Linked DNA regions of Callithrix jacchus. The protein of the gene in region 1 purifies or fractionates together with the protein of each later gene. This does not show direct contact. Links are inferred from orthologs where the notes say so. Each region holds a gene or a part of one and is shown in the gene's direction. Other genes may lie near its edges. The genes, in order: ITGA4 and ITGB1.

Region 1 (3,825 bases):
ATGTTTTTTTTTTTTTTTTCCTTGTAAATTGAAGTTCCTGTAGATTCAGGATGTTAGATCTTTGTGGGATGGGTAGATTGCAAAAATGTTCTCCCAGGTTTCCTGTTCACTCTGATACTTTCTTTTGCTGTGCAGAAGCCTTTTAATTAGACCACATTTATCAATGTTGGCTTTTGTTACAATTGCTTTTGGTGTTGCAGGCATGAAGTCTTTAACCATGCCTGTGTCCTGAATGGTATTGCCTAGGTTTTCTTGTAGGGTTTTTATGGTTTTGGGTTTTACATTTTAGTCTTTAATTCATCTTGAGTTAATTTTTGTACAAGGAAGGGGTCCAGTTTGTTTTCTGCATATGGCTAGCCAGTTTTCTTAGCACCATTTATTAAATAGGGAATCCTTTCCCCACTGCTTGTTTTTGTCAGGTTTATAGAAGATCAGATGATTGTAGATGTATGGTGTTATTTCTGAGGTCTCTCTTCTGTTCCATTGGTCTATATATCTGTTTTGGTACTAGTATCCTGTTGTTTTGGTTTGGTAGCCTTGTAGTGTAATTTGAAGTCATGTAGCATGAGGCCTCCAGCTTTATTTTTGCTTAGGATTTTCTTGGCTATACAGGCTCTTTATTGGTTCCATATGAAATTTAAAGTGTATTTTTTTTCCTAATTCTGTGGAGAAAGTCTATGGTAGCTTGATGGAATAGCATTGAATCTCTAAATTACTTTGGGCAGTATGGCCATTTTCACGATGTTGATTCTTCCTATCCATGAGCATGCGATGTTATTCCATTTGTTTGTGTCCTCTCTTATTTCCTTGAGCAGTGGTTTGTAGTTCTTGACGAGGTCCTTCACATCCCTTGTAAGTTGTATTCCTAGGTATTTTATTCTCTTCGTAACAATTGTGAATGGGAATTCACTCACGATTTGGCTGCTTATCTATTTTTGGTATATAGGAATGCTTGTGATTTTCGCACATTGATTTTGTATCCTGAGACTTTGCTGAAGTTGCTTGTCAGCTTAAGGAGTTTTGGGGCTGAGACCATGGAGTTTTCTAAATATACAGTCATGGCATGTACAAACAGACAATTTGACTTAATCTCTTCCTATTTGAATACACTTTGTTTCTCTTGCCTGATTGCCCTGGGCAGAATGTCCAATTCTATGTTGAATAGGAGTGGTAAGAGGGCATCCTTGTCTTGTGCTTGTTTTCAAAGGGAATGCTTCCAGTTTTTGCCTCCCAAAGTGCTGGGATTACAGGCGTGAGCCACCGCACCCGGCCAATGAGATGATTTTTATAAGCACTTAGTAATAGTTCATGGCACAAAGGAAGCCAAAGGAAATAGCAGCTGTTATGTTTCAAGTGGGATTTTTGAAATTACCAAACAGTGGATAAGACGAAGATACACTAGACAGGCAAAGAAGAAATATCCATTCTAGTTTCAACTGTGCTAAAAGGGAAGTCATTAGACCACCAGGAAGTCATTTAACCTTTTGCAATTTGCCTTCTCTTTCTCTCTAGGTCTAGGTTTCCCCTCAGTGGCCATAATTGGCATTTTGGACCAGATATTGTTGTTGTCAAGGGCTATCCAGTGCATTGTAAGATATTTGGTAGCATCCTCAGCATCTACACACTCACTGCTGGTAGTACCACCTCTCACATTCTGACACTTGACAATTTCTTCAGACATTCCTGTCCCTTAGGTGATAAAAACCCTCCCTGCTGAGAACTATTGCTCTAGGCTATATGAAGTTTGTCATTTATTTTTGGCTCTAAAATGTTAAATCACATTTGCACAGTGGTTTTAAAGGTCATATCCCTCTTAAAGAGTCTGACTAAAGAATATATTCTCATCTCCCTCAGCAAATGCAGACATGAAAACATCTCCTGAAGATTCTTAGAACTTGTAAGGCACATCCACAGATTCCCAAGCTCCATGGATTTGGGGTTTCAAAGTCCCTGCTTTAGATAGTAAAGTTCTGAGTTCATCCACTGATTTTATATTTGAATTCTATATATGTATTTAATGTACAAAGAAATAAAAAGCCCAAACAAGATAGATTCAATATGTGGTGGCAGGGTGGAGAACACTGGTAACTAGTAACTTGCTGTTGTCTAATAAATATTTAAATCAAGTTATTTGCAGGGTAGCTATGTTTAATCAAAGGATTTCAATGAAATACTATATAAATTAATACCAAGACCATACTTTGGGAACCAAAGGAAGCACTGCAGTTAATTTTAAGTATTGAAGTAAATTGGGGAAGATAAATTGTGGAAACCTCTAATAGAAGGTAAAGATCCTGATAAATTATTTTTATTAATAGTCTTCATGAAATAAATCACCATAGCCTGATCTATTATTAAACAGGATGAGACTTCAGCACTCAAGTTTGAAATAAGAGCAACAGCTTTTCCAGAACCAAATCCAAGAGTTATTGAACTAAACAAGGATGAGAATGTTGCGCATGTAAGATTACCCTCTTAACTGCTACATTAAAATTATAGGAAAACACATTCCAAGGGTGTCTGTCTATAATCACTTCCTTTTGAGTAACTGAGTTGGGAAAGTAGAATGTGACCAGCTCATGGAGGGCCCTCAGTGTTTGGCTGAGAGTTGGCATTTTTCCACAACTGGCAAGATGGAATGATACAGCAGTTCCTTTAGAGAGGTGAACTGGGCAGCAGTGAGTATTGGATAGATTGGAGGAAAAGTCATGGATAGAGGCTGTCATACTCACTGTTTCTGCTAGACAGTTACCACTGTTTCCTGTGGTTATATTAGAACCAGCAAGAAAATGGGCTGGGAGGTTCTAAATATTATTGGGGATTATGACAGGACTTTAAAGGAAATATAAGCAAGTTTTTAAACTGTAGGTTTGTTTTTTTTCTTGTTCTTTTATGTTTTTTCTTAATTCACGTAGGTTCTACTGGAAGGACTACATCATCAAAGACCCAAACGTCATTTCACCATAGTGATTATTTCAAGTAGCTTGCTACTTGGACTTATTGTACTTTTATTGATCTCTTATGTTATGTGGAAGGTAAGCTTTTAAGAATTACCAGCGTTAAACTACTCAAAGTGACATCATTTTCTCAAAGCCAGTTTCTGGCTTCCAAGTTTTTCAGTATTTTAATGTTAATTTTTTTATGTTGCTCAGTACTGATCTCTCATTTCTCTTCAATACCAAAGTCTTTTTAGAAAAAGATTCCTTCTTAATTTGTTTTGAAAGATGTTGCTTTTTAAAATGCATTTGGAAAAGACTGCAAATTACACTGAATGTCAATTTTGGAGAGAATGTGGCATATATCACTGAGAATTTCTGCATTAAAAACAAATGTTTTTTTAACCCAGTATGTCCCCAACTAATTACCTGTTCAAAAACCTTTATGATGTTATAAGGGACACAATTTAAGAAATATTGGTGTTAACTGCTTAGATATTAGAAATGAGTATAATAGATAAGAGTGTTCACAACTATACACTAGTGATTATGTAATGCTATTTTCAGGCTGGCTTCTTTAAAAGACAATACAAATCTATCCTACAAGAAGAAAACAGAAGAGACAGTTGGAGTTATATCAACAGTAAAAGCAATGATGATGATTAAAGACTTCTTTCAAATTGAGAGAATGGAAAACAGACTCAGGTTGTAGTTAAAAAATTTAAGACACTGTTTACCAGAAAACATGAATTTTTCTTGGACTTGTTTTACTCATGATCTTGTGACATACTATGTCTTCATGCAAGGGTAAAATCTTAGCAATGATTACTCTTTGAGAAAGAAGAACTGTCAAGGTAATAATACAGCCAAAGATAATCTCTCAGCTTAT
Region 2 (3,825 bases), on another chromosome or scaffold:
AAAGCTTTATACATGTTGTCTTACAAAAGCAGATTCATAGCCTAAACAAAGCAAAAATGTGATAAAGTCATGTGAGAAATATTTCTAAATATGTTTGTTTATCATTAAGCAAGAAATCTCCTTGTTGGAAAGCAGTTGTAAAACATAGCTTACATTTAAACTTTTACAGGATTTCTCCAATCTTTTTTCTCCCCAAAATATCTTTTATAGAGTCATCTATTTTGATGAACTATGCTAGAAACTTTTTTTCCCCCCAATTCTTCTCTTCTTATATATTCAAAGGATATAGTTTTCTATTTCAGGAAGCATACACATTCATATATACATATACCACTAACTCTGTAAAAATGTAAATAAACATATGATTCACCAGTTCAAAAAGATTTATAGTGTTCTTTTTCTACCCACAGATGGGAGGGTGTTGAATTGAAATTAAAGAGGAATTTGCTTCTCCTTTTTGAACATAATTCAGTATACTTTAATCGTGCCCAGTTAGCCTTAATTAATAATCACTTAAATAATCTGAAGGCAGTTGTAATACTATGGTAACCCTGTGTGTTGCATGCGCCACTTTCAGCCCCCGTCCCTCTAACCCTTTGGCAGCTTGAATTTTAAACATTTTTACCTCATGCCATGGGGTACCATAATGCTTTGGAAAGGCCTGATTCAGAGGGGTTTTTACAAAGGTTTTTAAGATTTCATTTGTTCCACAGATTTTCCATCCTCCCCGGTCTTGGATAATTTTCCTAATTCCTGTCTTTTCAGGGGTATGAACAAGAGATAGCTTGCCACTGCTGCAGCTCCATTTGCCCTGAATAGTTTTATACTTTCAACAAGCCCTGGCTTGAATCCCTCCTTCTTGTGGGATTTTGTTTTTTGGTTTTTGGCTGGGCTACAATGGTTCCTTAAGCAAATTTGTTCCTAGAGTGCATTGTTGATTGTGTACTCTAGTCCATAGTTAGCTGGAGGGGTAGGACCACAGAAACACCATTTTGCCAGTGGGGAAGACAGCATTTATTTATTCCACATTCTTTTTTTTTTTTTTTTGAGATGGAGTCTCCCTCTGTTGCCCAGGCTGGAGTGCACCAATCTTGGCTCACTGCAACCTCTGGCTCCTGGGTTCAAGCGATTCTCCTTTCTCAGCCTCCCAAGTAGCTGGGATTATAGGCGCATGCCACCACACCTGGCTAATTTTTTTTTTTTTTTTTTTTTTGTATTTTAGTAGAGATGGGGTTTCACCATGTTGCCCAGACCGGTCTCGAACTCCTGAGCTCAGGTAATCCATCCACCTCAGCCTCCCAAAGTGCTGGGATTACAGGCATGAGCCACCACGCCTGGCCTATTCCACATTCTTAAGACTCCTCCTAATTAATAACAGCCCTCTGTACTGTGTGATCCTGAGTATTTTAACTCAGTGATTAAAACAGGAATACTCCTTTGAATTGTGTATTTTATTTTGAAGATTGGATCTTTATTAATTAAAACCTGTTTCTCTAGCGTCTGTGTTTTCCAGTTACTCAGTTGGATTTGGCCTGTAAATATTTTATTGAAATAATTCTTTTCTGAGCAGTTTATCCATTGGTTTTATGCATTCAAGTAGCATTTTGTTGACTTTCCTGTATATAATTAGGCATTCTTTTAGTCCCTTTCCTCAGAAGTCATTTTGGAAAACAGCAAATTATCAGAAGGAGTAACAATAAGTTACAAATCTTACTGCAAGAATGGGGTGAATGGAACAGGGGAAAATGGAAGAAAATGTTCCAATATTTCCATTGGAGATGAGGTACGTTGTATAAAGCATTTTCTGTAGAAAAGAAAACATTGCTTATTTATAAGCAAATTTAGTTTATACTTTGAGAAATGTTAAGTGAGAAGCTTTTTAAAATATTTTTAGTAGATTTAAATTGCTTAATTGGTTGTTGATCTTTTTTTTTCCCTTCAAGGTTCAGTTTGAAATTAGCATAACTTCAAATAAATGTCCAAAAAAGGATTCTGACGCCTTTAAAATTAGGCCTCTGGGCTTTACGGAGGAAGTAGAGGTTATTCTTCAGTACATCTGTGAATGTGAATGCCAAAGCGAAGGCATCCCCGGAAGTCCCAAGTGTCATGAAGGAAACGGGACGTTTGAGTGTGGCGCATGCAGGTAAGCTGGTCATTGTCAGATAGTGGAAGAAAGGGCTACATTGGTTTAGAGCATAGAGGCAGGTCATATTTTGGGACATCCAGAGAATATCTCTCTATTCAGAGCAAATGCTTTTTCTAACCATGGTTGCCTGCCACAAGATCAGTTTGATAATCTTATGTGTGATATTTATAGGAATCTCCTTCCTGCCTTTTCTGCTTAATTACTCTTTAAAGTAAAAGCTTTTATAGCCATAGAAGAAGTATATTCAACGAATAGTTAACATAGCATTTCCCTCATGTGAGAGCAATCTGAATTGTCTAGAACAAAATAAGCTTGTATAAAATACATTTATAGAAAAATGTTTTGAAAAAACATCAAACCAATGATAATGATTTCATCTGGGAAATGGAATTATAAAGCAATAGAAGATGTTTATCTTGTACTATATGTACTTCTGTATTGTTGGAATAATATTTTAAAAATAATGTGTTGTAAAATAAAGAGAAAATGGTATTTTTAGCATGTAGAATCTAATACTAAGAAAACTAACAAGATTACTTCAGATTTTATTTTCACACTGTGGTTCCTTTTTTTAATTGAAAAATAAGAACTGAGTATACTTTGAATACAGCCTTCTCCATAAAAGAATAGGAGGAGGGGAGAGTGTTTTAATCCGGTGTCAACCCCAAATGACTAGGCTTAGAAGGGCTATTGAGTTTTTCAGTGTCTGGGCTGAATAACAATTTAAATGTTAGAATTTTTAAATTTTCCATATCTTGTTTGAATCATGCCAGTTCCATTTTTAGTAAAATGTCATTTAACCAAAAAGGTTATCTTGAAAATACTTTGCCTTTCTTTGCTTGTATATTTACTAGATACAGAATCAGTGCATTCAGTGTGCGTGAGCATTATATGTTCTGAAAATACACAGGGATTCTGAAAAGTCTGTACCTGTAGGATACATTTATTTTTAAATGGTATATTATATTTTAAATAGTATACACAGTATGTTTTTTTCAGCTTCTGTACACTTTTCTTCAACTTCTGTACACTTTTTTGCATGTGTTTATTATATTTCTTTAGGTTAATAGATTGTTGTTTTAAATTTAGAGACAGTTCACCTAGAATAGGAAATGTAATAGCATACCATTTAAAAATGTAACTAACATACTCTAAAATTGTTTATTTTGCCTTTCCACATGTGTTGTTCATAATTTATTGCTAGATATATTTTTATCTTCACCAAAGTTGTTACTTTCCTGAAGAAATTTTTTTCCTAGACTCTTGCATATATTCTGTAGAAACTTGAGTGACTGGGATGTATGTGCACGCCTGTGTATTTGTCCTTGCTTGCACATGTGTGTACACTTCACTACACATCTATGATGTGTGGCATGGACAATCCCATCTAATAGATTGGTAGCTCGCAGAGATATTTTTTGTAGTTTTATTTCCTCTCCTAGTATTTCTCTTTTAAATTATTTTTGTTTTGTGTGATTGCAATTGTGGAATCTTTGTTCAGGTGCAACGAGGGGCGTGTTGGTAGGCATTGTGAATGCAGCACAGATGAAGTCAACAGTGAAGATATGGACGCTTACTGCAGGAAAGAAAACAGTTCAGAAATCTGCAGTAACAATGGAGAGTGCATCTGTGGACAGTGTGTTTGTAGGAAGAGGGATAATACAAATGAAATTTATTCT

The links.
Region 2: the proteins of ITGA4 (region 1) and ITGB1 purify together in Homo sapiens (co-immunoprecipitation; 4 studies listed by BioGRID and IntAct, with this or other methods). This does not show direct contact. The link is inferred for Callithrix jacchus from reciprocal best matches to the Homo sapiens genes ITGA4 and ITGB1.

What each region holds. Positions count from the first base shown.
Region 1 is NC_133507.1:47,527,781-47,531,605, reverse strand, and holds part of ITGA4 (integrin alpha-4), read left to right. Parts: intron 1-2,362; coding exon 2,363-2,461; intron 2,462-2,915; coding exon 2,916-3,035; intron 3,036-3,503; coding exon 3,504-3,602; 3' UTR 3,603-3,825. UniProt on the Homo sapiens protein: Integrins alpha-4/beta-1 (VLA-4) and alpha-4/beta-7 are receptors for fibronectin. They recognize one or more domains within the alternatively spliced CS-1 and CS-5 regions of fibronectin. They are also receptors for VCAM1.
Region 2 is NC_133508.1:32,606,117-32,609,941, reverse strand, and holds part of ITGB1 (integrin beta-1), read left to right. Parts: intron 1-1,642; coding exon 1,643-1,783; intron 1,784-1,943; coding exon 1,944-2,143; intron 2,144-3,647; coding exon 3,648-3,825.